Linked DNA regions of Caenorhabditis elegans. The protein of the gene in region 2 purifies or fractionates together with the protein of the main gene of each other region. This does not show direct contact. Each region holds a gene or a part of one and is shown on either strand. Other genes may lie near its edges. The genes, in order: B0250.5, nsph-3.2, M142.5 and C45B2.6.

The links.
Region 1: the proteins of nsph-3.2 (region 2) and B0250.5 fractionate together in Caenorhabditis elegans (co-fractionation; one large-scale study listed by BioGRID). This does not show direct contact.
Region 3: the proteins of nsph-3.2 (region 2) and M142.5 fractionate together in Caenorhabditis elegans (co-fractionation; one large-scale study listed by BioGRID). This does not show direct contact.
Region 4: the proteins of nsph-3.2 (region 2) and C45B2.6 fractionate together in Caenorhabditis elegans (co-fractionation; one large-scale study listed by BioGRID). This does not show direct contact.

The regions. Positions count from the first base shown.
Region 1 is NC_003283.11:20,490,933-20,499,835, forward strand, and holds B0250.5 (putative 3-hydroxyisobutyrate dehydrogenase, mitochondrial), read left to right. Parts: upstream 1-2,991; 5' UTR 2,992-2,998; coding exon 2,999-3,121; intron 3,122-3,173; coding exon 3,174-3,298; intron 3,299-3,404; coding exon 3,405-3,535; intron 3,536-4,208; coding exon 4,209-4,413; intron 4,414-5,378; coding exon 5,379-5,496; intron 5,497-6,041; coding exon 6,042-6,239; 3' UTR 6,240-6,413; downstream 6,414-8,903. Other genes in the region: srbc-79 (Serpentine Receptor, class BC (Class B-like)), read right to left, coding at 1-57, 921-1,553; dct-16 (DAF-16/FOXO Controlled, germline Tumor affecting), read right to left, coding at 7,051-7,310, 8,064-8,076.
Region 2 is NC_003282.8:10,109,334-10,116,207, forward strand, and holds nsph-3.2 (Nematode Specific Peptide family), read left to right. Parts: upstream 1-3,536; 5' UTR 3,537-3,596; coding exon 3,597-3,864; intron 3,865-3,913; coding exon 3,914-4,395; intron 4,396-4,442; coding exon 4,443-4,808; 3' UTR 4,809-4,954; downstream 4,955-6,874. Other genes in the region: egl-38 (Paired box protein 5 homolog), read right to left, coding at 1-5, 1,016-1,079; spch-1 (SPerm CHromatin enriched), read right to left, coding at 1,535-1,919, 1,969-2,177; C04G2.10 (Protein kinase domain-containing protein), read left to right, coding at 6,167-6,229.
Region 3 is NC_003281.10:10,927,693-10,934,373, forward strand, and holds M142.5 (AD domain-containing protein), read left to right. Parts: upstream 1-3,508; 5' UTR 3,509-3,516; coding exon 3,517-3,633; intron 3,634-3,682; coding exon 3,683-3,766; intron 3,767-3,824; coding exon 3,825-4,259; 3' UTR 4,260-5,069; downstream 5,070-6,681. Other genes in the region: Protein-lysine N-methyltransferase M142.8, read left to right, coding at 5,952-6,233.
Region 4 is NC_003284.9:6,050,447-6,059,594, forward strand, and holds C45B2.6 (phospholipase A2), read left to right. Parts: upstream 1-2,611; 5' UTR 2,612-2,653; coding exon 2,654-2,770; intron 2,771-3,005; coding exon 3,006-3,122; intron 3,123-3,165; coding exon 3,166-3,395; intron 3,396-3,450; coding exon 3,451-3,625; intron 3,626-3,960; coding exon 3,961-4,072; intron 4,073-4,116; coding exon 4,117-4,207; intron 4,208-4,255; coding exon 4,256-4,352; intron 4,353-4,396; coding exon 4,397-4,481; intron 4,482-4,524; coding exon 4,525-4,794; intron 4,795-4,843; coding exon 4,844-5,100; intron 5,101-5,176; coding exon 5,177-5,430; intron 5,431-5,478; coding exon 5,479-5,749; intron 5,750-6,300; coding exon 6,301-6,456; intron 6,457-6,505; coding exon 6,506-6,562; 3' UTR 6,563-6,727; downstream 6,728-9,148. Other genes in the region: gln-1 (glutamine synthetase), read left to right, coding at 7,836-7,875, 7,922-8,062, 8,110-8,271, 8,398-8,672, 8,731-8,942, 8,997-9,148.

The DNA.
Region 1 (8,903 bases), on a different chromosome or scaffold from region 2:
AGGAATGATATTGAAGAATAGCATTATGAAAAAGTCGAGAAGAGCTATGCGGGTGGCCTGAAACAGTTTTATAATTGTAAAAAATAATAATGGTAATGTACGAATATATCTAGCTGTAAAAATGACGAAAAAGTTTTTAATGAACCACTAAAATTTCAAAAAAATTGTCAAAAAAAAATTCAAAAATTTGAAAACTTCAAAAAATTTGAAAAAAATTAAACAATTTTGATAGCTTATAACAATTCGGAGAAAAAACCATAAAACTTTCAGAAATTCAAAAAAAATCGAGATTTTTAAATTCCGAAAATTTGATATTTTGATGTAGTTGCCGCTCGCCAAATCGGAAAGTTGCCAATTTCCCGGAAATTTTCAATTCCGGCAATTTGTCGATTTGCCGGAAATTTTCAATTCCGGCAAATTGCCGATTTGCCGGAAATTTCAATTCCGGCAATTTGCCGATTTGCCGGAAATTTCGCTTTCGGCAATTTGCCGGTTTGCTGATCTGCCGGTAATTTTCAATTCCGGCAAATTTCCGATTCGCCGGTTTTCCGAAAATTTTCAATTCCGGCAAAGTGCCATTTTACCGAATTGCGGATATTTTCAATTCCGGCAATTTGTCGATTTGCCGGTAATTTTCAATTTCGGCAAATTACCAACTTGTAGTAACTTTAAATTCCGGCAATTTGCCGATTTTCAGGAAATTTCCAGTTCCAGCAATTTGCCGAATTGCCTGTAATTTTCAATTTCGGCAATTTGCTGGTTTTCCGGAAGGAATTTCTCAATTCCGGCAAATTACCAACTTACAGTAATTTTAAATTCCGGCAATTTGCCGATTTGCCGGAAATTTCAATTCCGGCAATTCGCCGATTTGCCAGAAAAAATCGTTTTCCGGCGACCCCTGCACTGTACATAAAACTCACTCTCGAAATATCCTTATTCGTTTCAGTTCCCGAGAAATAACTCCAAAAAGTAAGCCGAAGAAATAAAACGACCGAGAAAGCTCCATTCAAAAAGCAAACTATTTGTTGATGTGAAAACCAGTAGCGGTAGTAACAACTGTTAACAGCACAAAAGTAATTTACACACTCTAGTGGTGTTTCAAGAACATTTCCACAATATCCAAAAAGCATGTACTGATTGAAAAGTTCACTGGATAGGATTATGAGTAAAAATACAAAATTCGGAAGTTTTTGTCGATAAATGTGGAAGAAAATTGGAAAATATATGGCAATAACTCTTTCGAGGGCTATTAAAAATGTTAGTACTGATCTTATATTCCCAATTGATGCAGCTGGAAATACAAGTAAAAAGTATAAGTTTTTGATGATAAAGTCATTAGAAATCCTTGTAAGCATATAATATATTTTGAGAATCAACAGAACTATAGTATAAACCAAGTCCACACCGAATCTGCAGTAAGTCAGCATCATATGCAAATTTACAGGGATTCTTTTGCGCCAGAATATTGAGATCAAAAGAAGAAAGTTGAGGTAGCAGATGGTAATGGCGAATAAAATCGATATGAGAGTAGTTAAAACGGCGATGAGGAGCATTCTTGGAGAAACTAATCAAGTGAAAGAAAATAGTCAGAATATATGGGTATTCTAATTGAACCCGTCTGGTATTGTCAGGCGGAAATTTCTCCGGAAATACGTACTTCTGATCGCTGTCAATGACAACACGCACGTGGTGTCATAGTGTTATTTCTCATTTCAGCTTGATCTACGTAGATCTACAAAAAATGCGGGATAAGCGACGCAGACTTCTCAACTGATTTCGCATGGTTAAGAACGTGCTGAGGTCACCATTTTTCTTGAAAAAAAAATTCCCGCCTTTTTTGTAGATCAACCCGTAATGGGACAGCCTGGCAAAACGTGAACACGAAATTCTGGCCTTTCTCATTACATTTTTCGCGCTCCATTGACAATCGCCTGCCGGAGACATGGGAAAGTCGTGTACTCCACTCGGACAAATATATTTAGTTTTGCAATTAAAACCGAGACGCAACGCGCCGTAAATCTACCCCAGCCGTGGTTGAGTCAAAATGGCCTAGTTCGGCCAACTCTTACATTTCAAAATACGTGCAAATTGTCGTAAAGTCTGGTGTTTTCAGTTACGGTAGCTCGGTGTCCACGTACGAGGCACCAGATTTCACGAAAAAATGCACAGAAACTCTCGCTTTTGGTTACTGTAGGCTGAGGTTAGCGTTACAAATTTTACGACAATGCACACAAAAACCCTAAAACACAGGATTTAGAGAATATTTTACGCGAAAAATCTGAAAAATTCACCGGAAATACTCTGAAACTTCAGGATAAATATTTTTCAGCTAATCCAAGACGAAAATGGCAATTTTTAAATTGCATTTGGCAATTTTTCAATAGATTTTCTTTTTTTTCCAATTGTAATGCCAATTATTATCAATTAATTCAGTTTGAAACTCTTGAAATCAAAAACCCAAACATCTTAGATCACACAACCACACTGCCACTGGTGCAATCTGCACTCTTCTCTCCTATCTGTCAATTTCGCCGTTTTTTCTTGTGTTTTTTCTTCTTTTATGAAGTTCCACGTGCCTTTTTAAAAATTGAAAAAATTGAAATTTGACCGATACCGCCCGTTTTTCTGCTCGATTTCGAGATTTTTTCTAACTTATTTTCAGATTTCCTTGTATTATGCACTGTTTGTAAAGTTCAATATGTCATTTTACGAGAAATTTTGTGAAAAACTCGATTTTCTAATTTATTTTCTTTGAAATTTAGATTTTCCGCCTGAAAATCGCTTTTTTCATAATTTTCCGCAATTTGTCGTAACGAAGTCCGCAAACACTGTTGTCCACGTGTAGAACTTGTGGACAAACGCACATTTATTTTACTTTAGTTTTTATTCGCTTTTATTAATTTTCATGCGAATTTCTTGATTCTTACTCAGTTTTTTCACTTAAAGATCATTTTTCGCAATATTTTCTCTCTAAAACTCAACTAATTTCAGCAAAATCATGTCTCTCACCGGGTTCATCGGTCTCGGCAACATGGGCGGCCATATGGCCCGGAATTTGATCAAAAACGGGAAGAAACTCATCGTCTACGATGTTAATAAGGCAGTAGTGCAGGAGTTTAAGGTAAGATTAACAATAAATTTGAGAAAACTCGTTTAAAAATCGATTTTTTCAGGCAGAAGGCTGTGAAGTCGCCGCTCACCCTGCTGATATCGCCGCCGCTTCGAAAGAAATCATCACAGTGCTTCCGAGCTCTCCACACGTGAAAGCCGTCTATCAAGGCGAAGCTGGAATTTTTAAGTACGAAAAATCCTGAAAATTTTGGGAAAAAAATAAAAAATAAAATTTTTTCTCAAAAAAAAAAAATTTTTTTAATTTTTAAAATTTTCTAGTTTTTAAATTCCAGAACCATCCAGCCTGGAACACTGTGCATGGATTCCTCCACAATCGATCAAATTGTGTCACTGGAAGTTGCTCAGGCCGCCGCTTTGCTCAAAGCCGAGTATATCGACGCCCCAATCTCCGGTGGAGTCACTGGTACGGGAATTCGGAGACGGAAAATTGCGAAAACCAGTTGAAATTCGAAAAATAATAATGTTTTTAACGTGATTTTCGTGAAAATTCAGTTGAAAACTTGAATTTTAGCCTAAAAACTCAAAAATTTGGCCGAAATTTTTTTTTTTTGAAAAACAAAAATCGAAATCTCAGTAAAAAATTTCAGAAAACTTGAGTTTTAGCTCAAAAAATCACATTTTTCCCTAAAACTGTCGAAATTTTAGCTTAAAATCTCAAACTTTTCACTAAAAACTTCAAATTTTCACTGAAAAATTCAAATTTTCACTAAAAATCTGAAATTTCCACTGAAAATCTCAAATTTTCACTGAAAATCTCAGATTTTCACTAAAAATCTCAAAATTTCACTATAAATCTCAAAATTTCACTAAAAACTTCCAATTTTCACTAAAAACTTCAAATTTTCACAGAAAAATTCAAGTTTTCACTGAAAATCTCAAAATTTCACTGAAAAATTCAAATTTTCACTAAAAATCTAAAATTTTCACAAAAAATCTCAAATTTCCGCTATAAATCTCAAATTTTCACTAAAAAGTTCAAATTTTCACTAAAAATCTCATAATTCCTCTGAAAATCTCAAATTTTCACTAAAAATTCCAAAATTTCACTAAAAAACTCAATTTTCATAATTTTCCAGGCGCCCAGCAAGCTACACTAACATTTATGGTTGGAGCCGGAAACGATGCAACTTTCAAGCGTGCCGAAGCGGTTTTAAGCCTTATGGGCAAAAATATCGTGAATTTGGGAGCCGTCGGCAACGGAACAGCCGCCAAAATCTGCAATAATATGCTTTTGGGAATCCAGATGGTCGCTGTCGCGGAGACTATGAATTTAGGCATCTCGTATGTGGAAAATCTGAAAATTTAGAAAAAATTGAGTAGAAATAGCTGAAAATCTGAAATTTCTCTTGAAAATATGTTTTTTTTTCGAAATTTGATAATTTTGATATTTTTTAAATGGCAAGATACTTTATAAATTTAGTATTGTCCAGAAAACTTCTGAAAATTATAAAAATTCGAAAAACGCCGAAAATACGGAAATGGTGAACGATTTTGGAAAATGCAAAAAAAATTGAAGCAAAAATTGCTGAAAATTCAATTTTTTGCCGAAAGTTCAAACCATTTCAAAAATTGAAAAAAAAAACGTTTCCAGGCAATTTTTCAAGTTTTCTGATTAAAATTAATATTTTTCATTACTTTTTTTTCCGGCAAATGGGCAAATCGCCAAATTGCCGGAATTGAAAATTTCCGGCAAATCGGCAAATTGCCAGAATTAACAATTTCCGGCAAATCGGCACATTGCCGGAATTGAATTTTCCGGCAAATCGCCAAATTGCCGGAATTGAATATTTCCGGCATATCGGAAAATTGCCGGAATTGAAAATTTCCGGCAAATCGGCTAATTGTCGGAATTGAATTTTCCGGCAAATCGGCAAATCGCCAAATTGCCGGAATTGAATTTTCCGGTAAATCGGCAAACCGGCAAATTGCCGAATTTGCAAAATTTTCGGCAAATTTTAGTTTTGATCAGTTTATTTTTTGAAAATTTCAGAAAAAAATTCCCTCTAAAAATTTCCGGCAAACCCGCAAATGGCCGGAATTGAAAATTTCCGGCAAACCGGCAATTTGCCAATTTGCCCAATTTGTTGACGAAACAATGCCGCCCACCAAAATTCTAAAAAAACAGTTTCGTCAAAAATAATTTTGAAAAACATTTTTTTTCCCACATCAGCAAAGTAAAACGACCAGCGCAAAAAATTGAAATTAAATATATTTTTCTAAAAAATTCAACAAAATTTTTTTTACAGAATGGGTCTCGACGCGAAAGCGCTTGCCGGAATCGTGAATACATCGTCAGGAAGGTGTTGGTCGTCGGACACGTACAATCCAGTACCCGGAGTCATTGAAAACATCCCTTCGTGCAGGGTATGGATGGAAAATTGACTGAAAATCCGTAAAAATGCAAAAAAAAAATCTCAAAATTTGATTCTGTCCTCAAAAAATTCATTTAAAAAATTAAATTTCGCCATTTTTTGAATTTTTAGCTTAAATTTATAACTTTCCAATTTTTTGATGATTTTAATAGGAATTTTGATTTAAAAATAATTCAAAAAAGTTGAAATTTTCAAAAAAAAAATCGAATATCTGGAACATTTTTGCAAATCGGCATCTTGCCGGTTTGTCGAGTTGCCGGAAACGTTCAATTCCTTCAATTTGCCGATTTGCCGGAAATTTTCAATTTCGGCAACTTGCCGGTTTGCCGATTTGCCGGAAATTTTTAATTCCGGCAACTTGCCGTTTCGCCGATTTGCCGGAAATTTTCATTTTCGGCAAATTGCCGGTTTGCCGGTGTGCCGGAAATTTTCAATTCCGGCAATGTGCCAATTCGCCGATTTGCCAGAAATTTCATTCAAAAATTTCAATGAAAGTCTCCTAAATTCCGCCGATCAACCTAAAATTTCCAATTTCAGGGTTATGCTGGCGGCTTCGGAACGACTCTAATGGCAAAAGACCTTTCATTGGCTCAAAATGCTTCAACAAATACTCAAGCACCAACTCCAATGGGCTCACTGGCTCATCAAATCTACCGTATTCTGGCTCGTGATCCACAGTACCAGGCAAAGGATTTCGGTGTCGTCTATCAGTTTTTGAAGAAACAAAACTCATAATTTTCGGTTTTTTCTGAAATTTTTAAAGCATATTTTATGTGATTTGAAGCCCCGTATTTTCAGGATTTTTCCAATTTTTAAGCATATTTTATGTGATTTTTCCGCCTTTTTTCTATGTGCCAAATTGTGTTTTTTATGTAGAAAAAAATAGAAATTTATGAATTTTTTGTTTAAATTCGAAAAACTGTCTGGGAAAAAATCGAATCGAAAAAATTCGAAAAAAAATTTAAAATTTTCAGGGTTTTAATCGAAAAATTAATCTTAAAAAATCAATTTTTGTCACAAAAATTTATCGAAAAAAAAGCTGATTTTATAAGAAAAAATAGAGATTTTTAAAAAATTTACAAGAATATATTTTCCATGAAAAATCACTTGGAAAGACCATTACAAGTTCAAAATTACAAAAAAATTATTTATTACAAGCTCATAATTGAATTAAATTTGCGTGGTTCGATCTACTTCGATCTTCGAAAAATGCGGGAATTGAGATGCAGATTTCTCAATTGACTTCGCATGGATAAAAGCGTGCACTTTTTGGGCAAAAAAATCCCGCATTTTTTGTAGATCAAACCGTAATGGGACAGCCACCATGTATGTACATTACTTTTCAAGTAGGTCAAGTAGGTTCGGGCAGTTTCCGAAATTTTAAAGGAACTTTTTCATTAGAAATACGTGGTGTCATTACTGTTTGATCTACAGAAAATGCGGGAATTTTTTTCCCAAAAGTATGTGACCATTACAAGTTTAAAATTACAAAAATTATTTTATTACAAGCTCATAATAGAATAAAATTTCAAAACAAAAAGAAAATCTATTGCTTCTTGGCGGCCTCGATAAGCTCGGCCTTCTTCTTCTCAATAATGACAGCGTAGATCTTCTGATCGGCTTCCGATTGTCCCTTAATATACTCATTGGTCTCTCCGATCATTTTTGTGATAATTGCCAAAGAAGTGGCAGCATCACGTTCTGGCTCATCGTCCTTCTTCTTGTAAGTGGCGGCGATTTTGAGAATTCCCTCGATGGATTCTGGCGAGAGACCGGCGGCTGTCATCTCCTCCTTGGCTTTTGCGACTGAAATTTTTTTTACATATTAGTAGGGTATTAGGAGACCTACAAAAAATCCGAAAATTTTCAATTTTTGGATTTTTATTAGGTAATTTGCGTGGTTTGATCTACTTAGATCTTCGAAAATGGCGGGAATTGAGATGCAGACTTCTTAACTGATTTTGCATGGTTAAGAACGTGCTGACGTCACATTTGTTTGGGTTAAAAAATCCCGCATTTTTTGTAGATCAAACCGTAATGGGACAGCCTGACACCACGTGTGTGCTGTACTTTTCAAGTTGGTTGTATGTTCGGGTAGTTTCCGATATTTTTAATAAACTTTTTTTATTGGAAGCGTGTGGTGTCAGACTGCCCATTACTGTTTGATCTACAGAAAATGCGGGAATTTTTTTCCAAAAATATGTGACGTGTCAGCATGTTCTTAACCATGTAAAATCAGTTGAGAAGTCTGCGTCTAAATTCCCGCTTTTTTTGTAGATCTCACCAAAATGGGACAGCCTGACATCTAAAAATGTAAAAAATTAAATCATTTTTTGGTGTTGTATCCTATAATATCTGGAATATGAGGTTATTGTACAATTACATGTAAAAAATCAAAACAATAACTTGCTAAAGAATTACATACTTTTTTCTGCCGAAAAATCAACAAAAATTGAAAATTTCAATTTTTCGCCATTTTCGGTCTTATTGTTAAATTTTTTTCAAATTGAACAAAAAACATGAATTCTTGAAAAAATAAGCATACATCCAAAAACTCACGTTTCTCGGCCATTTTTAGTGTTGATTCAGCAGCAGCAGCAGTGAAAATTGATGCCTATGCCGAAATGTGGCACCCCGCTTGGCATTTTATACCGAGAAAAAATGTTTGTGACCGCATGCACTTTGCTCTTCCAGCGCGTGTTTGCATGCTTACGTGTTCCGAACGAAGACCGTTTTTGCAGTTGTTGCTCCGCGAGCAACTAATTTAATGATGTGTCAAGAACACTATGTAGATAAGGAATTTTAGTGATATGACGGCTCGCGAAGATTTTAACGTGGAAACTTGCTGGAATCCATGTGGCAAATAGAGATTAATGTCTGATATTTTCCAGAAAAACTATGGCCCAGGCTTAGGCTTTATAGGGTTATTCATGAGATGACGATAAATGCAAAAATGTATTTTTTACATTTTTCCCCTATCTATTCATGTGTGTAGAAAAATGTAAAAAAAACACATGCTTTTTTTGCATTTTTCTACATTTTTCTACATTTTTCATGTGAAGCGGGCTGTCGGCCGATGTAGATAAATGTCGAAAAATGTTGAAAAATTAAAAAAAATGCCTTCGTTTTTAGGGATAGGGTAAAACTGTATAAAAATCATTTGTGCATTTTTTGGCATCACATGAATAATCCCAATAGCTTCGGTTTAGCGTTTAGGCTTAGCTTTTTTTTAAGGATTAGCTTTGGCCTAAGCTCAGGTGTATCAAAGTTTTAAGAGCCCATGATTACAGACCACCTAAAAAATCTCAATGACCAGAATTTCAACGCAAAACATATTTATTATTTATTGAAATAATCAGAAATCACAATTTTTAGAGATAAGAGGGCAGGAGAAATGAT
Region 2 (6,874 bases):
GGGATCTAAAAAGTTTAATTTTGTGAACTGTTTGTGTTTCTTCAAAGATGGCTAATGGGGTTATCAAAGTACATTTTCCGTGGGAAAAAACGTGAAAAGTACGAAAATGAGAAACTTTTGAGGCGGAAGAATATAAAAAGTTACACATATTTTGGAAGGATATTAGTTGATCATATGTAGTATATAGTCATTAGTGAAGAATGTAGGTCAAAGTATATACTTTCTGTTTTTTTTGCTTGTGATAAATGCATTCTAGGCAAGAAAACGTTTTTTTTTTTCAAATTTTAGTCCAAAAACAGCTGAAAGCACTGTGGAGTCGAGTCGATTGGAGATTTTTCTTTAAGATTTTGTTTTTGATCAAATATGGACCGTATTGACAAAAAATATAACTGTACAAAATTCTAACTTTACATGTTTTTTTTGAATTACAAAATCGAAAGGGAAACTTTGAAAGAAATTGAATAACCTAGTTTCTGCATTTTCAGTCTAAACTCTTTGATATTTGATTTGAAACACCGTCTTTCGATTTTTCAAACATTTTTCCAAATAAATTCTCGGAAATTTCAAAAATGGTCTTTTATCTTTAATTTTTATTTATGAAAATGTCTGAAAATTGAGAGACTGTGTTAAAAAAAATTTATTAAATAAACATAAACAATAAAGCCAGAAAAGGCGAAAGTGTCGAATGTAGGATATTCATTTGCGCGGGAATTCAAACATAATTTGACTCTTTCGAACATTATGCAAAATTGAAAAACACATAATAAATTTTAAATAATTTTTAAAATATTATCAGTTATAATTTGTATAATAAAGCTCTATTCTGTCATTCAAAGCAAAATTTCAAGATGGTCATATTCCACCTTTAAAATTAGACTGAATACTTTTTATTTGTTAATAGTAAGAGATGTTGCCTTTCGTAACTACTTTACAATTGTTTAAGGGATATGCTTTAATTTTCTTTTAGCAACTTGAAACTTTCATTTTTAATGGAGATTTAAAAAAAGAGACCTACCAAATTGAAAATTGTGATGTCCTGGGTAGGTTGGGTAAGGATAATTTCTCCAAATAGGTTCCATAATTTTTCAACGAAAGGACCTTTTCACGAGGCAATCAACCGTTTGGACGCCCTCGGATGCACACATACACCACAGTCAAATAGGCTCCACCCACTAGCCTCCAACACTTTTACTATATTCTTCAGGGCACCTGTGGATTAGGAAGAGAAGGAAATATGGGCGGAGCTTTTGAAAGAGACCGCCCATCAATTGAAAACGATTGGATAGAGAAGTCAGCGGTTCTCGGAATACGGGGAAAAGGGTTAAGGTTCAGGATTTAGTTGAGGTAAGGAATCGGTGGTAAAAACTATTTGTTTTCAAAATGTCAACTGAAATCAACTGAAACTGAAATCAATTCTAGATTTTTAGTCAAATCCTGCTTTTTGCAATGAAGCTCATTTTAAACAACAAACAAAACACATCACACAATATCACACAATTTATTTCATAAGCTATTCAGTTCCATTTCAATCCGTTCAGCCTTTGCGGCTCATCGAGCGTTTGACCTTCTGTTGGCTTCTGCTGCGACTACGTCTCTTGGCAGGAGTCTTCTTTGCAGTCGAAGCACGACGTCCACGAGCCTTCAAGGATGAGCGGCGACGAGAGCGGCGACGAGAGCTTCTGCGAGACCCGGAACGGGAGCGTGAATAAGAGCGACTTCTGGAGCGGCTTCTGGAGCGGCTTCTGGAGCGAGAACGCTTCGACGAGCGAGAGCGTCCTGTGCGTCCATACACCGATCCACGAGAAGACGAACGGCGGCTCACGGATCCACGGGATGCGCTTCTCACAACCGATCGACGAGACGAACGGCTGGTTGATGAACGACGACGACGTGGTGATGGAGAGATCACAACAACCAAGCTGAAAAGGAAAAATATTTGCGATGAAAAGATAATATATTTCTGCTTACCTTGGCGATTTGGCAGTGTGCGTTGAGACCGAACGGACTGAGATTCTGCGACTCGCTGGTCTCCCAACACTACGGCTTCGACGAGCACGAGATGCGCTTCTGGAGCGGGAGCGGCTCACGACGGTCCTCTTGGTCTTGGCAAGAGGAGTGAAGCGTCCTTTTGAGTCACGAGGACGAAGTTTGTTCTTCTGACTCTTCGACTTCGGCATTTGCGGATGATTTTTGATGGTCTATTTAGTAGACGAGACGAGTGTTATACTGATTTTAACAGAAAATCTCAGACTTTTATACCAAACAATTTTTGATGACCTTTTGAGATAAGAGATTAACCACGTAAAAAAAATATATTACACGCATTGAAGTTTTGTCTTTGTGTCTTTTTGTCTCTTTTTCTTATTTGTTTCATTTTTCTCGCAAAAATTGCTATGGTTGTCGAAGGACCGGATGATCGAGAGTCTATTCGACTTTTGATTGGACAGATTCGGGATCTTTACAAAGAAATTGTGCATATGAGAAATGAAGATTGAGAGCAATATAAGCTAATGAATGGACGGTTGGAAGCAATGGATAGGGATAGATCTTTCCGTACCAAGAAGCGTCGCAAGATCAATAAGGATAAGGATAAACCAAAATTGGACAAAGAAAAGAAATCAGCTGCCCAAAAAATTGTTTCCACATCAAATATGACGAACACTCTCAAGGCTACGGATGAGAACAAGGTGGCTGAAAAAGAAGAATAATGAACTTGTTGTAAAAATTTCTAATTGTTTATGTGGGCAATAAATGAGTATTTGAGTTTTGAGTTGTTCCAAAAATAAAAAATATTCATGTTATGTTTCGATAATGTTTCTTCAAAATTTAAGTTTATTTTAATTGTTAGAATTAACTTTGATAATGAGAATAATAAAATTAAAAGCCAACCTGTTTTTTTTGCTGGCCTGGAAGGGCCTAATAACAATATGGAGCAGGATTGGATGTATTCGATATATGTACATTTGAAAAGATTAATTAATGATGATCACCAGGCGCACGAATCGAGCAAAAGATCAGATTTTCAAGCATCAAGCTTCAAGAAACCCGTGTTCGTTCAAGCTTTTCAAACTTTAAAGCAGTTAAAAAAACATGCTTCGACAAACTATTAAATTCAGAAAAAATAAAAAATAATAAACATATTGTTTTAACATACGGTGTTTGTGTTAGCGGCGTTACCGGCGGCAAAGGCCCCACTCTCTAATTGAAGCTCTAATTTTTAGAAACCCGAGGTTCCAGAAAAAACTGAAAATCGGAAATTTGAGCAGTTTTTTCCAAAATTGCTTTTCTTGCTTTCAGGGGTTTTCTTGCTTTCATCGATGACTCTTCAAATTTGTTCTTTTTAATAAATATTTAAAAGTTTAAATTAAAAAAGAAACACGTAAAGAAATCATCCCAATATGAAAAACAATCCGTTAACCGCTTTAAAAATAAGGAATAAAAATTTTAGAATAATTAATTAATTTCTTCGTGACAACATAGCCATTGGTCAATTGGCAAGAAATTTCGTATAAAGCTTGACGAAAACTGACTAAATCAATCAGTTGTTACTCATTCCAACACAACGGACTGCTGCGACAAGTGCCTTTGAAAAACCAATGCCGAATCCGCCACCGAAAGAAGATACTTGGGCATTCCAGCCAATCGGAGCCCCCTTCCCGCCGAGCCCGGTAAAATGTATGGGTGAGCAGAATATGTACGTGGCTCTGTGGTACAAGCACGGAAAGCCAATCCATGGACGTTCGTGGAATAACGGAGGAGTTGTCGAGTGCTCTTTCCCGTACAAGGAGGCTGAACTGACCACCAAGCAGCAGCTTGAGGGTCAGATTCAGGTTCTTCAGTACCTTGGAGATCACAACAACCAAGGTTAGTTTCTTTTACAGGAGTAACCCAAAAATATGTTTCCATTATTCAGGTTTCTGGTACGAATGGATCAAGTACAAGGATCGTATTGAGAAGATTGACGATAAACATCAACTTGTGCGTTGTGGTGATTCATTCCCAATCTTCTGGAAACGTGCTGAAGGAAACCTCCTCGGATATGTGGACAACAAGACTGAGGAAGCATGGTTCTCGTTCAATGGGAAGGTGATTAAGCAGCTCGGGCCACAGCTCAACGAGATGTACATCATCACGCGCAACTGCATCGGAGGACCACCACATTGCCCATGTGCTGTGTGCGGAGCTGCTCCACCACCACCAAAGCCAGTGCCACGTGTCGAGAGAGACGAATGGATGGACATTCGTGAGGGAGATCCATGGCCGACTCGCCAACTTGTCAAGGCTCTTGACAAGACTCTGGACACCCTTCCAGGAGTCAATCCAGACCAATATGTTGCTCTCTGGTACATGCAAGGTGAACCTGTTATGGGTCGTGTCTGGAATGAAGGAGGAAAGGTAAGGAAGTTCATTTTTAGACGAAACGATTCATTTTGCACTTGCAGGTGGCTGCCAACTTCTCGTGGTTCAACAACGAGTATTGCAAGAATGTTGGATCTATCCAGCTTCTCATCTATCTTCCGGACAGTGTTCGTGGTTTTGACTATGGATGGATCCCATTCCCGGAGGCTGCTCAGTTTGGAGACAAAGCTTGGCATCCAGTTCATGTCAACAACCACAAGGGAGATATCTCCGTTGGAGTTGTTAACGTTGCTGGAGGAAAGCAGATTCTTGCCAAGGTGGATGTCCGTAACGAGAAGTATGGTTATGGATACCAAGGAAAGGAGCATTCTGCAACTGCCAAGAACTGCGCTGATAACACCATTGTTCTCTGCCGTAAGGCCAAGGCTGGATACAAGCTCGACGGATAAGTACACACCATATCAATCAACTACGGATGATACCTTTTTCATCAATATTGATTAATAAATTTGTATTGTCCGCCACATCTCCTCGCCAAAAAATCAACTCCTTCGCTGTAGAATTGAAATGAAAAAAATATAAAATTCCAATACATTTCATAGTCTTATTTTAAAATTTCAACTAATATCGAAGACGCATTCAAGCTTATTTTTTCTTCAAATCTTTATTTTTCATGGAGCTCTTTTTCTTGTTGGTAGTGGTCGTCGGTTTTTCCTATCCTTGTTGTCTCTTCGTAATATCTTTAATAATCTTCTATAACATCACGTCTAACGATAACATAATTTCCAACTTTTCAAATGCTCCCATTTTTAAAGTATGATGCAGCACACTCTGTAGAAATCATAAAATTTATTCACAGCATTCAAGTGCCAAAACGCCGCCTGCTACAAGGAGCTAACTATCATTTCTGTAGTGTTTTTGACGAAAAAAGGTATACAACTTTGAATTTTTGTATTTGATTCAATATGAATACAACAGCTAAGTTTGAAATGCACACGATAAAGTCAGTTGGGAAGTAGCTAAAAATATACGTATTTTTGAGAAAAAAAAATCGATCAGCGGATATTTCGGTTAATGTCCGTCCACCCTTGCTTCCAACCTCGCCCATCTCGGTTGGATCGGACCCATCGCAGATCCAGGCGTACTTTGTTCATTTGAATCGGAATCTGCCGCTCGTTTGGCAATGGGTGCAAATTTGATTATTTTGCTCGTCCTCTTCCGGTGATGTCCTGTTCGCTTGCCTCGATGACGACTGTGAACCAGATGTTCACAGCTCCAAAAGTAGTGAATATAGTCCCGTATGAGCCCGCAGCCGGCCCGCCGGCCACGCGGGTCTTTGAAGTAGCACCGAGACCGTAAGTCGTCGATGCACCATATATAAAACGGTTTCGGCCGGCTGGGGCTTTACATTCATTTATTGGTAGAATACGTAGGAAAAATAATTAATACAATATTGGAGATTGTATATATAGGTATGAAAAGTAGGCGGAGCCAAAATGCTGTGGTGACAGAGATAAGAGAGTTTAGATGGGGACAGAAAAAGGTGGGAGGAAAGTCGGTGTACATCAGAGGATGATTGTGTTTGACTCAGACGTTATTAACAATTGAAACAATCAATCAAATATAAATCAATTTTTATTCATTATTAAATTCCTTAGATTTTGCTTGATTGAGGTATGAATCATGCAATGATTTCATACACGTCACCTGTTTGTATGCTTTTGCTCGAAGTAACTGCGCTGTCTACTCGGAGTTGCTATGCTCCGGTTTGTCTGAGTTCCCGTTAAAACTTTTGGCGGGAATTCAAATGTCTCCGATTTTTTCTCTTAAAATCTTCCAAAATTTTCTGTTTGAGACTAAGAAAAAAAAAGTAAGTCTAAGAAAATATGAGAAACTTCGTAAAGCTTTGGAGAAAAAAATCGTTTTGTTTCGTGAAACTTTTTGAGCTCAGATCCAGAAACCTATATCCAGAAACTTTTGAAAATATATGAACAGCAGAAACAAACACGAAATTTTTGGAAAAATTTAAATATTTCAAAGAAATTCTAGAAAAGAGAGAAATCACCAAAAATTCTAGAAACTACGAAAAAATTCTACTTGAGACAGTTTTTTGGAAGGTTCAAGACACTTCGGGTTATCTAAGGTCAATTAGAAGTTTTTGAAAAAGTAGGACATTTTTTGAAGTTTCATAATATTTTCAAAAGTTTCAGTTTCCAAAAACCCGTGAAATTTTCAGTCTTAAAAATTCCAAATAAAACAAATAAAATTGAAAGGGCTAAAGTTGTGTGAGTTTTGAAATGCAGAAAGTTATAAACACTCCAAAAAATTTTTGTTTTTTCAAGGACCCTACCATACCATACCTTACCTTACCTTACCTTACCTTACCTCACCTTGATTTTCAATATTAAAAAAACTATTGGAGAAAAATAACATTTAACTTTTTCTTTTTTCACGCAATAAAAATTTTGTTTCACCATATCATGGATTTAATTTCACTTGAATTAATTTCGCTTTC
Region 3 (6,681 bases), on a different chromosome or scaffold from region 2:
CGGCCACCAACACGTCGTGAGATACTACGGAGTCGCTGTGCTGCAGGAGCCGATTTATCTGGTGATGGAGCTCGCATCGGATGGTGCTTTGGACGCGTATTTGAAAAAGAATGAGCTTCTGCCGATCGACAAGCGAAATGAAATGCTTCTTCAAGCGGCATGGGGCCTTGAGTATATTCATGCAAAGCCCATGCTCCATCGGGATATTGCCGCGCGAAATTGCCTCTACGGAGACGGGAAGGTTAAAATCTCGGATTTCGGCTTAACCCGTGATGGAACAATTTACCAAATTAAACCAAACACGAAAGCTCCTATCCGATGGCTGGCAGTTGAAGCCATGAAATCCATGGTACGTATCCCCTCATGAGCCCATATAAGATCTATTGTTATTTCAGGTTTACTCCCAAAAGTCCGACGTCTGGGCTTACGGGATTCTTTGCTGGGAGATCTTCAACAACGCAGCCGAGACGTATCCGGGTTTGACTACCGCCGAGGTTGCTCAGCAGGTACCGGATGGGTACCGAATGCCTCCACATCCGTTGGCCCCGCCAGAGATTCAAACGTTGATGACGGTGAGTGTATGGTTAAATCCAAAAAAAACCCCATTAGCAATAGGACCAAATAAAAGTTTATACATAAGTAAGTTAGACTTATTTTAAAGACCCTGAGAGCTTATATGGTGCATCGAGGGGTACATTACAGAGGTGGGCGGCAAACGATTTTTTTCCGGCAAATAAGCAAATCCTCAAATTGCCGGACATGAAAATTTCCGGCGAACGGCAAATCGGCAGTTTGTCGGAATTGGAAATATTCGGCAAGTTGGCAAACCGGCAGAGTGCCAAATTCCAAATTGCCGCCCATCCAGGTAGAATATACTCATACCCCATAAGATCCAATAGGATCTATTTGGTTCATATATCTAAATACTATAGGACCCATACCCCACCAACCACCCCCATAACTATTTTTCCTCAGAGATGCTGTGCGGAGAATTCCAACGATCGTCCAACAATGGCGGAAATCGCACAAATCTTGCAACGCGTCACTGGTCAGCCGCGTCCAAACTTTTTGGCAATCGCCAAGAAGGAAGCTGAAGAGGTATACTAGTACCTATTAAACTGTTTGGTAATTATTTTTTTCAGCTTCTCCTCATGAATTCCGGAATTACAAAGACTACTGTACGGCGTAAGAAGTCCGCGGTTCCAAAGGGATTGTGAACTTTTGAATTGAATCGAGAATAAACTATTTCTTTCAATATCATCTATTAATGCACTCGATAGCCAAGAAATCATTTTGGTGGCCTAGGAGACCTTGAAGTTACTTTTACTTTACTTAGGCCACAGATTCTCGAAAAGTCCTGAAAATCTCTGACGTGGTTTTGAATATCTCATGGTGGTGGGAAAGTGATTTAATTGTGACTTGAGTTTTGTTTAGGTGGCCTAGAAACCCAAATTTTACTAATAAATCTTCCATTTCATAAGATATTTTCCCATATCAAAATTGCCATAATTCAGTGGTGAATGTCATGGAAAAAGATATCAGAGAACTGAAAATTTATCGCTGTTTTTTTGGAAATATCGGAAGACGATGAAATAAAAGAGCAATTGACAGATGGTCGCTGCTGCCGGGCTCCCCAAGTTATCGAGATTTATCTAAATTTTTTGCAGAATTTTTTTAGGAAAGTGATGGTGGAGGGGAGAGTTTTTAGAAATTACATGAAAGTTGCCGAAGATTATAAATTCGTACACTTGTATACAGGCAATTTGAATTTCCCGCTAAAAATGTTCTCAAAAATATGAACTTCAGTCAAAAAAATTGCTGAAAATAGGAGCGTGTTTCAGCGCGCAATACGCAATTCAGGTGCACCTAAAACTGTTTTTCAAAATTGGAGAAAAACTTAGAAATACATTTAAAAAATTACAGTCAACACAATATTCTGGCATTTCGAAAAAAAAAGCTGCCAAATTTTCCAAATTCACAGGCAGGCAGGCAGGCGTGTTAACGCTTACATGGAAGCCCTACAAAAACAATGAATTTTCTTTGCGACTATAGTATACTGTAATTAATTAAATGCTCTTCTCTTAAAAAAACGAACTATAAGTAAGCTAAACTCTAATTGCTTTTAGTTATAAAACACTCCTTATTTCTCAATTTATGACTGAGACTCTCTCCTTCTTCTCCAATTTGAGGTACAAGACAAAATTGATGATGGCTCATAAAGTGTATGTATACTACTTCGATATGCTCCACCGATCTCCTCCTCATTTCATGATTAGTGTCTGTGTGTCTGTGTCCTTGGACACCATTTAGAGCAGCAGTAGGAGCAGCAGATGATGATAGATGACTACGCGGGAAACAACAGGCGTCTTAACTCTCAAGTACTGTGATTTGCATAAAAGTTCGCCGGGCAGCAGCAATGAATTATGTGTTGTGCGGGGGCAGAGGGTTTATGAAATTTATAAAACACATATGCTACATGTTGAGGGGGTTTTGCCACGTGGCAGGGCGGGAAACCAAGAAATTTGAACTTCTTCGACAAAAAATCTCCTCTTGAATCAAACCTGTTTTTTAATGCGAAAAAAAAACGAAAAAAAACCAGTCTTATTACAGGAACACGAAATTCTGAGAATGCGTATTGCACAAAATATCTCGTAGCGAAAACTACAGTAATTTCTTTAAATGACTACTGTAGAGCTTGTGTCGAATTACGGGCTCGATTTTTGAATAGTGACTTTAGAATTGTTTTCTCTTTTTTTTTGATTGATTTTATTATTTCATCTACATATAAATAAATTCTATTAATTCATTTCGAAAATGGAGACCTTAAATCGAAACTACAGTAGTCTTTAAATAATTACTGTAGTTTTTGCTGCGAGATATTTTGCGCGTCAAATGTTGCGCAATAATACGCATTCTCAGAATTTTGTGTTCCCGTAATAAGTATTTGAGTAAAATTAAATGAACATAAAATTTAAGAGCATGACATTTCATGAAAAAGGGTTTTTTTCACGAAAACTAATGGGGAAAACATTTTCAGAGTGAAACAAGCATAATTGATTGACTCCGAGCTCGGATCCGAGGTTATTGCATTTGCATTTCACACTTTTTCGATGGAAAATATTTTTTTTTCGAATATTGATGCAGATTTCCAGATTTTCGCTGAAAATTCATTTTCCATTTCGGTTTCAGGTCACTTTTTGCACGCGGTTCTTGAATTTTAACTCATTTTTCCACGAGAATTTCATTTTTTAAACAATAATCATTGATTTCTTGAACTTTTGCCGCGCGGCCAGCATCGCTTCGTATCGTGTAATTCCCCTCAAAAATCACGACAAACAAATGTTCAGTGTGGGTTCGCAACGGAGCGCACATGCTGACACCTCCCTTTTTCGTCTTTTTCCATCGGCGCCGCAGCATTTATCGACCCGTTTTTGTGCAGTTTCTTGTTTTTAATGCATTTTTTGTTTCAAAATTTTGAAAATAATTATTTTAAAACAATATAGTTGTCTTTGCAGCATGGCTTCGTGTAATCTGACAGCGTCAAACGTTGCGATCGGCGCCTGCGTCGAAATCGAGACGACGAATGGCTTGAGCGCCCGGGGAGTGGTAATTTCGTTCGACACGACTCGCAAGGTAAGAGAATTATCGATTTATTGAATTATTTATTAACCAAAAGCCAAAGTTTCAGGTTTTGGTTCTCGACACCAAGGAAATGGCGATTAACAAGCCAATGATTCGCATTTTCAACTCGGAGCACTTGAAAAATGTGAGTTTTTTCTGGCAAAAATCGGTACTTTGATATTAATAATTAATATTAATTTCAGATAAAAGTGTTAAGTGAAGCTCTCGAGGAAAGCGAGAAATTCGCGCGCGCCAAAACCGAGCAATTCGCCCAGAACAATCCGGTAAACGGTACACGGACCACCGAACGGCTCGACAAAACTCTCGGCGAGCTCACACCGAATCTAATGAAATCACCAGCAATATCGATTCGTGGACAACAAGCCTATCTGCAATTGAAGCGCACAATTCCGGATACATGTTGGTGTGGCGAGGATATCCGTGTGCTCGGGCTCGTGTTGGTTCACAAGCCCTACGAGGTGTCCGACGTGACAAAAGATGCAAAAGCGACAGGATTCGATGAATCGCGTGCCGAAAGTGCCGTACTTCAAGTTCAGAAAATTCTCTCAAAACCAATGACCGAGTATACGGCACGTGCTCCGCTTGATTTCACTATTGGAGCTATTGTGGCCAACTAGTTATCGATTTTTTCCCATTTTTGTATATTTTTTGTCCTAAGGCTGATGGGTTTAAAGAAAAGAGTGGGGAAAATCAAGAAAATCTCTATTTAAACCCATAAAAAGTAACATTTCGAGAATTTAAACTCGAAAATTAATTAATTCTGTGAAAATCGACAAAATTCCGTTTTGAATCGATTTTATTCAGGATTTTTTTAAAATTTAATCTTCAAACTTGAATTAACTGAATTTGAAGCCGATTTAAAAAAAAATCTCGAATTCTTCTATTGAAAATTTCAACGATTTTTAATAATTAAAATTCAAAAAAAAAATCTGATTAAAAAAAAACTTCGTGAAAATCTATTTAATTCTGAAAAATTCGATATTTTTCTTCATTTTTTCTGTGATTCCCGATAATTTCCAATCGTCTTCGAGAAAATGTAATTTTAATCGATTTAATCGACTTAAAAAATTTTCAAAACAAGAAAAAAATCAAGAAAACGTCGTTTTTCAACAAATTAGGTCGAAAATGTTGTATTTTCTCCGTTTTTAATTCAAAAAAAAAATCGATTTTCTTGCTATTTCCCCCTAAAAATCGATTTTTCGAATAAAAATTCATCAGCCGCGGGTCTCGTTTTTCAGGTATCTCTGTCCCTTTCAATATATATATATATATTTTCTCTTCCAAATCAACCAATTCTTCATTGCATTTGAACCTTTTCTCAGCATTTTTCTCCTTTTTTTTTTTTAGTTTTTTTAAATTTGAAATTGCCCCCCGTCCTCAATTATTTATTAAATTCCGCCCTAAAATATAATATATATTTAATTTTTTTCGTAGTTTTTTCTGTTTTTTCTGTGAAAGAATGGGTTAAATTACCATTTTATATCTTTTTTAAATCATTATTTTCTAAAATTGCTCGTTAAAAATTCTGAAATGGCAGTTTGAAAGCATTAAAAATCGATTTTTAAGCTAATTTTCGATTTCTGTGAATTTTTATTTCAAAAAAATCTGAATTTACGAATTTTTGAGCTATTTTTCACATTTTTGCATTCGAAAAAACACGAAAAATTGCCCAAATATTACAGGAATTCCAAAAAAAAAATTAAATAAAGAAATACCGGTTATTTGCTAAATTTAAATTTATTTTTAAAAATAAAAATTGATTTTTTTAAAGAAAAACTGGTTTAGAGAATCTGGTTTAGAGAGCTTTTTCAATAAAAAAATTATTATAAATTTTTTCAACAAAAAAAATTAATTTTAAAGCCGATTTGTTTGAAATTTCAATTTAAAAAAGTGATTTTTAAGCTATTTTTAACATTTTTGCAATCAAAATATCCTAAAAATCGCTGATTTTCACTAAAATACGGAAATGTTCTGCATTTCAGCAGAATTTTCCTTAAATTCCGAGTAAAAGTTGAAAATTTGTGGTTTTTCATATTTTTTCTAATGCAAAAATGTGGAAAATAGCTCAAAAATTCGTAAATTCACATTTTTTTAAACAAAAATTCACAAAAATTAGCTTAAAAATCGATTTTTCATGTTTTCTAAACAAAAACTAAATTTACGATAAAACTGATATTTCAGAATTTTTAAAGAGCTATTTTAGAACAATAAATACAAAATTTCAACTGAATTTTCCTAAAATTCAGTTGAAATTTGGTTGAAAATCTGTGATTTTTCAATTCTCAAAAACTTTCAGCTCGAGTTCTGAAATGTCAGACACTGATGATATTCCACAACTGTCCGCCGACACCCTGGCGGCTCTTTCCATGTTTCAAGCTGAGCAACAGGAGAAAATCGAGCAACTTCAGTCGGGAATCATCGAGAAAATCGATGAAGACTGGCAGTTGAGCCAGTTTTGGTACGATGATGAGACATCGCGGAAACTTGTCGCTGAAGGTGTCGCCGCAGCGTTGGAAGGATCCGAAGCAAGGCCTGCAAGGATCGGATGTGTCTCTTCGCCCACACTCGTCAAGTTTTTCCATGAAACTGAGGTGCATCAGATGAAATTTTGATAGAAAATATGGGTTTTATTGGAAAATTGAAATGAAAATTGCATTTTTTAAATCTTAAAATTTAGATTTCGCTGGCTTTTTGGAATTTTCGAATTTTCAGCCAATTTTTCCTTTAAAAGTCATTCAAAAATTGCAATAAAACCATTTAAAAACTTATTTTTCTTTTTTTTTCAGAAAAAAAACTAGAAAAAAATCTATACTTTGAGCCAATTTTCGGTTTGTAAATAGTAAAGAAAATCCAGTAAAATCTCCTTCAATACCTCAAAAATTGATTTAAAAAATCTTGAATAACATGAAAAACTAGCTCAAAATACACATAAATAGGTTTAAAATCGTTGTTTTCGGCTCAAAAATGCACAAAAATTACTAGAAATTGACATTTCTGCAAAAATTCACATAAAATATTGCAAAATTTGAAAAAAAAAGT
Region 4 (9,148 bases), on a different chromosome or scaffold from region 2:
GACCTCTCGACACTTATCATTTGGAGCTTCCTGAAATCTCAGTGAGCAGCAAAACTATTAGTGGGTGTTTCCCTGAATTTTTGAACTGTAGACATCGCTCAATTAGTATGTTTAATTGCAGTACAGACTCATGACGAGACGGTGCAAATAAAAAAAGATGAAGAACCTTGTCAATACAAGATGCAACGGTTTTCCGAGTTTGAGCTATTGGAATACACTTTTTGTATGCCGACAACCAAATGAACGGAAATCCAGTTCTTGATTTTTGTTTGACAAATGTCTTGATTTGTTGCCGAGTGAAACGAAAAAATGAAATGAGCGTTGAGACCCACGCGGAGAAAATTTTTATGGAGGCAGAGTTAAAAGGGCTTTGATGTTTTGATTAACCTAATTAAAAGCATATATCATCAACCTGAGGACAACGAGGCAAGAATCGAATTGCGGGGGACAAGATGAGGAGATCCTATCACCGTGTCATCTCAATCCTCGGCTGCGATGGTTTCACTTTCCACCGGTGTGGCCACAGGGGGAAAACCTTCCTGTGCGTATGTATGTGTTATTATCATCGCCTATATCATCAAGCACACATACACATATAATACACACATACACGCTCAATTCATTGAAATGTAGCGAGAATGCGAAAACTAGTTCGATGTCGTTTCAAATTCGGATCAATCTGATATCAATTATTGTTTTCTACTTGATGCCGCCGGTAGGCTTTGACACTAACGAGATAAAGGAATGTCCCCCGGAATTTTAAAGACTTTTTTCTCTTTGACAAACAGATTGACAAGGTCGGAATGTGTGTTCAAAGTTGGAGAATGTAACATAAAAAGTGCGCAATTGAAGATAAGTTGAAATAGACAGTAAATTAGTGAGTTCGAATCTTACCAACTTGTACCTATTGCAGAAGCATGTAGATTGTTTTCGTTCAATTATCACCACTTCTTGAGTACTTAGGCTGTTTATGCCAAAGTTTTCTGTATATTTCAGTACATTCTCAGTACATAGCTAATCGATAGTTATCCAAATTTAGTATTCTATCAACTGAACTGAAAAATATTTACCAAAACATGCAGAATTAGCTTCAAAAAAGGGGACTAATGTAAAACTTTTAGACATTTTTTTGAAAAATTCCTCATAAATTGGGTTTTAAGGCCATTTTGAGTCTATCGAGGGGAACAATTTCTACTTTTTCAAAAAATAAAACTTAAAAAAGCCGCCAAAGTAGAGAAATGGGGGGGGGGGGGGGGGGAGGTGCATGTCTGAAAGGGAAAATATGGTAATACTTAATAAACAAAGTTTACATGATGCGTCGACAAAAATGTTTCTAGGGATAAAAAAGTCGAATATCTAAAACCAACTCTATGAATAGGTTATGTAAACATTCGACGATCGACGGTGCAGGCCTCTGCAACTTACGCCATCTTGGTTCGTGGCAAAGGTCAAATGTAGGATTGGTAGATTTAGCTAGGCTGTCTCACACGCACTCCCGTTTGTAGTCTCTTTCTCTCTCTTGTATCATCGCCGGCACCATCTAGCAACGGGACCACGTTTATGAGACAAGAGTGTGTGAGTAATGAGTGTTTTGGAGCATACTTTCAAAGATTACACACATTCCTTTGATAAAGTGGATGAAGGAAAGGAACGGATATATTCCGAAAATAAGTAACAGATTTTTAACCAATTAATCTTGTTAGGTTTGAAATATTATATTATTTTCAACTTTTATAACTTTGTCTTTCATTTGTTATCTATCAAAGTGGTAAAAAGAAAAAGGATGGCACAAAGGATATTTGGCAATTGAACAAAAACGGAAACACTAGGAGACATGCATTCGAAATTACGTTCCGAAAGGTCACAAGTTGACGTTTAATGAGAGTTCTAAAACCATAAAAAGAGGACAATCTTCTGATCGCAAAAACGGACTCTTTGCCCAGTTTTAAAATGGTTCCAAATAAGCAATTGAATTGAAAACAAACCAACAACAGTTTTAGATCAAAGTTCATGGGGATGAACTGAGGGGGAAAAGTGCACGGATTGAGTTAATGGACGATCGAGCGAATCTATCGGAAACCGGATTTGTTCGAGATGCTGGTAACTTTTCTATCATTTAAGTGGGGGCTTTTAAATGGATTGCATCGAATTGGGTGGGAAACTTTTGGGTATTAGTCAATAGTTTTTTATTGTAAGTTTTGCTGCAAAATACAACAGTAAAACTTGAAAGTCATTTCTATTTAGAAAAAAAAACAAATCGAAAAAAGTAACAGCTGTACAAATCGATAAGAACACATGCACTGTCTGGGCAAAGGGTGAGGGCGGGAAAACAATGTCCGCAGAGAACGCATTAATTATTCACAAATAGTTTAAAAGAAAAAAAAACGAATTCTTACTAGAAATTCAACACGTTTTTTGTATTGTTTAGAGAAAAACCAAAAGGAAACGGAAACCTCTCATCTGAAGTGGTATAGTGCACTCAAGTCCGCAAAAGTGTACATGCGGACCTGACACCACATTTGACGACACCTATGCTAATTGTTGTTGTTATATTCCATTTCCAGTTTGTTCCATGTTTCACATCATATTTCTATGAACACAGTTATTTCAGATGGATTTTTTCATGAAACTTGCCAAAAGTGACGTCGGCCAGATGGCGATGAACACAGTCCGACAAAACGTGGAGGATAAAATCAAAGAATACGCGGATGCTCAACATAAAGCAGCTGGTTCAACGTCTCAAGCCAGCAATCCACAGGCACAATCGATGGTGAGTTTTGAACATTTTGAGTTTATGAAAAATTGAAAAAAAAACTTGAGCATGCACTTTCTAAAAATAAATTTAAAAAATATTTTTTCTATAGTTTTTTATAAATTTTTGTTTAAAAAACTACCACACAACGATGAGGAAAACGATGTTTTTTTAATGTGTCAAAAATGTGCTCCCAGATTATGGTTTTTTAAATTATTAAAAACCTTTACCTATTTATTTGCACAATTTTCAGTGGCCGGGACCTGTGGATAAAACCTTGAAATTTTCTATCAACTCAAAGCTTTCTACGAACTTTTCACAAGCTACATATGGTGATGGATATGCACTTGTCTACACACCAAACAACTATGTAAGCTGAAATAACATTAAAAATACACGTAGAAACTTTCCAGGTTGTTTATTTCAATAAGAATGCATCTTACATTGACGATCTGGAATATTTGTGGAAAGAATTTGACGAATCCATCACACATCTGAACAATCCTATCAACGTCATTAATGATTTGGTACCGGTTATGCTGAGAGAAAAGGAATTACAATCCGAGTGCTCAGCAGTATATTTTGCGATTTTTTCTGGATTTTCAAATTATGTTAAGGAGGAGAAAAAGAAAGAAGGAGATGGGTAGGTTACTGTCAAATCAAGTTTTATTGAGTTAACAAAAACTGAACCGTTTCAGCTTCTCAATGTCAAAACTAAATAGAAGAGGTGATACTCCCGTTCATGTTGCCGCTCGATTTGCATCTCTTAGTTTACTTCAAATGGTCTGGGACAAATATTTCGATCCATTGACAATGAATCATAATGGTCAGACAATTTTGCAAGTTGCACGTCATCGTCCAGAAATTGTAAAGGTGAATATTTATTAAAATAAAAGATACGAGGTGGAAAAATGTGTCTTGGGGGGATTTTGCTGAAAATTACAAAACAAATGCCTTAATAGACATTAATAGGCGTTATATCAATAAATGAAAACTATAGAAATTGGTTAAGTCTGACGAAAAAAGCTTGCATATGGGTGGGACTCACTGAAAAATTAAAATCCGTACAGATGAAAACTGTGCTCCGGATCATTTTGCTGGATGATTTTTGCAGCTTCAATTTGTATACAAGTTTTTCCGATTCTATATTTTGAAAAAAAAAATGCTTCAATGTAAGAACAAATTTGGAAAACAATATATTTTTGCAGTACATCAACAGTCATGTTACCGGAGAAGTATGCGACAAAATGATCATAACCGCAGAAACTCATCCCAAGCCCGAAACTCCCGATTACCCGCGATCTTTTGAGAAAATTCTAGGTGAATACCAAAAATTACAACATTTTCTTTATCAACATATTCAGAATACTCAATCAAAAATAACTTGCCACATTGCTTATTGTCACCGGCAGATGTTCTCAACAAATCATCATTTTCACTGAGAGATCTTGAATCGTAAGTTGCCACATTGATTGTATCTATCTTATTAGTACCGTTTTTCAGAGTGCTGAGAATTCTCTACGTGCAAGACTCGGACTTTTTGGGGAGACTTTTGAACTCGAAGAATGTGTTTCACACATTTGACAATTTCGTGAAAGATGTTTGTTGAAATGACTATATTGTTTTTATTAATCAAATTTCCAGCACCAAAAGTTGATGCTCAGTTTTGCCAAAGCTGAAATGATAAACGCTCAAGATTTGAACGGACTCACACCAATGCATTATATAGGTAAACTGAACTACATTTAAATGGCAACTCGTAACTTTTTCAGCAAAAAATGGAAACCTAAGCACAATCATACTTCTTTGGTCGCACGGCGCGAATGTTAATATGCTTGATAACAAAGGAATGTCTCCAATGGATTATGCTCTTGAAAGAGATGACGTCGATATTGTAAAAGCATTTCTGGCGTTTGATGGACATTCCACCGACCGAATTTTGAAAGCTGCACTAAATTCCAGACGTAAATGTGCAGAAGTTCTGCAAAAACACTTCAAAGCACTTGAAGAAGGAAAAGAGAAAAATATTAAATACAATCTGGGTAACTTTGATATGTTTCTATTCGCTTTATAACATTCTGCGTCTTTCAGAAAACCCTTCTCATCGTCGTTGCCAAAACTTCCCGCCATTGACCAAGAAAGATTCAGTCATTTTGTCTATTGACGGAGGTGGTATGAAAGGAATTCTGGCTCTTCAGCTTTTGAAGGAGATCGAAAAGGTTGTTGGAAATAAATTCTTGCGCTGGTTCAATCATATCGGTGGAACATCAACTGGATCAATGATCACTCTTGGATTGGTCAAGTACGGAAATATTGACCATGTCATCAGACAATATTTCAGAATGAAAGTAGGAAAATGAACATTGAGAAAAGCGATTATGATATGGAAGATCAGGTGCTAGTTGCAATATCTTATTTTTTCAGGATGATATTTTCATTGGATCCAGACCATACTCTGGCGAAGGTCTGGAAAATGCTCTTCTAAATGAATTTGGAAGAGATACGCTCCAGCAACTCGGTGAGAAGAATGGTATTCGCATCAGTATCCCGGTTGCTCGAGTCGATATCAGCCCTCCGCTACTCTACATGTTCCGCAGTTATAACATCAGAGACCCGTCATTTGATCAAGCTGGCATGAAGCCTGTCTGGGCAGCTGCAAAAGTTGTTAGGGCTTCTTCGTGAGTCACAGCTGGACAGAAATGCACTTTTTGATTCGTATTTTTCAGAGCGGCGCCATCATTCTTCCCACCTGTTGATGGAAAGTTTATGGACGGAGGACTAATCGCTAATAATCCAGCTGTTGACATTCTTACTGATTGTCAACGCCTGGAATATGAGAGAAACGAGCGTAATGTGTCAAAGATCATGGTTTCAATTGGAACTGGGTCGATGCAAAAGAAAATTGAGAATGTTGACTTGATGAAGCCAACAACAATGGGTGGAATTGTGAACACGTTCAACCAGATTCTTCACTTAAAAGACGTCTTTATTGAGCAGGTGAGTTGCAAGCAATTCTTTTCAGATAAAAATGGCCAATAAAGTTTGAAGTTTTGCGCAGATCAATAAGTCTGTCAATGTAATTCAATCAAAGTTGTCAAAAAGTTTGTGTGCTCACTATTAGGCAACTCAATAGCAGAAAAGCCCAACTACGTTAATTTTAATCACCGGTGCCTTTCATAATTAGCAACGAACGTGAATGTTTCTTGAAAACATCTCAATTTATTCTCATATTGAAAACGCATCCTGAAAAGAGTTTTGACTTATTAGTTTGAACCAAAAATGGTTGTTTCAAATTCTAGTTTGAAGTGTGATTTCGGTGCTAAAATAGTTACATGGACTAATTTGACAAGTTTTCTTCGTAAATCTAAAGCTTCGTTCAAAACATGAGTGTATATGACTTACACTCGATAAACCGGAACTGTTATTTCTTAATTTTTTGTTAATTTTGTTTTCTATTTCCAATATTTTTTCTTTCTAGAATGGATTAACAACCTTTTCGGGGAAAACATCTAATTATATTGTCACCTTTCATTTTTCCACACTTTCAGCTCACAGCAGCTGATGGAGTAACCGTCGAACGGGCTCGTTGGATGGCTGAAGCCATGGGAATGGCTTTCTTCCGTTTCACTCCAAACCTTGAATTCCCAGTTGCTATTGACGAGAAGGATGATAGTGCGTTGCTGGATGCAATGCTCGCTGTCAAGGTAACCTAATGGATGACAATTTGATTCATTATGTATTGACTTTTTGCAGTATGAAGCTGTCGCAATGCGAAATGAGATGTACATGCTTTCTTCGATTCTCAAATAATTTGAGCCCTCTCGCAGATATTCAATAATCTATTAGTTTTGCTTTTCTCATATGTGAGAATACACATAAGTTCATAATTTTGTATACATTCTAAGTCTCAGTTGTGAAAAATCATTCCGTCATAATACATAGAAGTCTATTTGAACCGAGTAAATATTTTTTCAAGCTTTGTCGTATTTCCATTTTTGTTTATCTTCTCTGTCTTTTACTAGAGGTAAAAATCCATCAAGAAGTATTTTCGTTCAGTGCCACTCAGCTTTTTTTTATAATAATGTTTTTCTCTCAACCAAAGAATCAGTGAAGAGAATTTGCTCCTTTGATCTTATACAAAGAAAAAATAGCATCTGTCATATACATACGTATCTAGTCTGCACTTTTTTTCGTTCAATAAAACCAACTTTGCCGTTTTCCTTATTGTTGCCCAGACTACCAAGTACATGTGCGCAGCAGCGGCAGCCACACTTTTCCGATTAGTAGGTTTAATTTGATCAGTCTGATTTTTTGAATCAGAATGATAAAACGAAATTACTTTATCAGAATATCAATAAAGAATGTGTAAACTTCCGTTTTACAACTTACTATCACACGTATCATAGCTCCACAGCCACTCCACTTGTGACTTTCGGACGAATAATGTTTTCATTTTTCAAACATTTGAAGTTGTATTCTTTTGGTCTCTGATTTCTTGACTGTATGGCAACGATTCCCACCACCACCTCCCATTCTTTGATTGTTATCTGCGGTCTCTCGTTCTCTCTCTCTCTCTCTGTCGAGTACATTGCGTTTTTCACAAACCGCATGAGGTAACAAATTGGGCAAAGGGCAGGTACTTACACCAATATGGTCGTGAGCCGATCTCTGAGTTTCTTATGCTCCTTTTGTAACCACCATCCATCTGAATGGCGTTTGTGTAAACTTATATGAAGTGAACCGTCATTTGCTGAGTTGGTTCTCTGCGTCTTTTTTCTTCTAACCCCCCGCATGACTGTCTGCATCAATATGCTGACACACTCTCTCTTCCTCATCCTTCCTTTGACATATACACTCTCCGAAAAACCGAACCCGTCGTTAGTTGGTGTTTCATTCCATTTTAGTTTTACTTTCTAGTTTAAGGTTTTAAAGTTTTACTTTTCTTTCAATCTGTGTGTCCCAAACTTTTCTATTTATTAAATGTTTCATTTCAATTTATTTTAACTTCGAAATTGAATTAAAAGTTCCCAATTTTCTCAATTTCTTTAATTTTCAGAAACATCTTTTTCGCTAGCTCTCAAACATGTCGTACGGTAGATCAAACAAAAGGGCCCGAACGAACAGTAAGTTTGATCATATAAAACCCAATGAATAGTTGCTCTTTTTCAGATATTTCGGAGCTCAATGCTAAGTACATGGCTCTAGACCAATACAACAACTATCAGGTAATGTACATTTGGATTGATGCAACCCAGGAAAATATGCGAGGAAAGACCAAGACATTTGACTTCGAGCCGAAAACTCCATCTGGTAAGCTTATAATTAGAATTTTGGAAAGTAATTTTGTATATCAACAGATCTCCCAATCTGGAATTTCGATGGAACTTCGACCGGTCAATCACTTGGCGAAGGCTCTGATGTGTACATCCGACCAATCGCATTATACCGTGATCCGTTTAGACCGGGGCCAAACAAAATCGCCCTTTGTGAAACACTAACACACGACAATAAACCTCATCGTGAGTTTTTTTTAATTTTTGAATTGAAAGGATCAGTGTAGTTTGAATCTTTGAATAAAATATGAGAATAAAGAAAATACATTTCCTAGTTTTGTCTGAAATTTCACAAAACATGTTATTTTCCAGCAACAAACACGCGTCAGCAATGCGTGGACAACATGGAGAAGGCAAAAGATCAAGAGCCATGGTTTGGAATGGAGCAAGAGTTCACACTGCTCGGCGCAGATAAGCATCCGTACAACTGGCCTGTCAACGGATTTCCCGCACCACAGGGCCCATACTATTGTGGAGTTGGGTCGGATCGAGTTTTCGGTCGGCACATTCTTGAAGCACACTACAGAGCCTGCATGTACGCGGGAATCAAAATTAGTGGATCTAATGTGGAGAGTATGCCATCACAGGTATGTAGTTTTCATTAAATTATTATTCGAAATTCTCATTCGACTATGAATTTTTTAGTTTGAATATCAAGTTGGTCCATGCGAAGGTATTGAGATGGGAGATCAACTGTGGGTGTCTCGATACATTCTGCACCGCATTTGTGAAGACTACGGAGTTGTATGTAGTTTGGACCCTAAACCAGTGCTCGGTGAATGGAGCGGTGCTGGATGTCATCTCAACTTCTCCACAAACGTGATGAGGACACCATGCGAAGATGGAACAGGGTGGAAGTAAGTGGAAACACGCAAAAGATCAAACATATAACTGATAAATTTGAATTACAGAGCTATCGAGGAAGCAGTCGTCAAGCTGAGCAAAGTACATATGCATCATATTGCGTATTATGATCCTCACGGAGGACGTGATAATGAGCGCCGACTTATTGGAGCTAATCAGACTGAAACTGTTGACGCATTTTCCTCTGGAGTTGCGGATC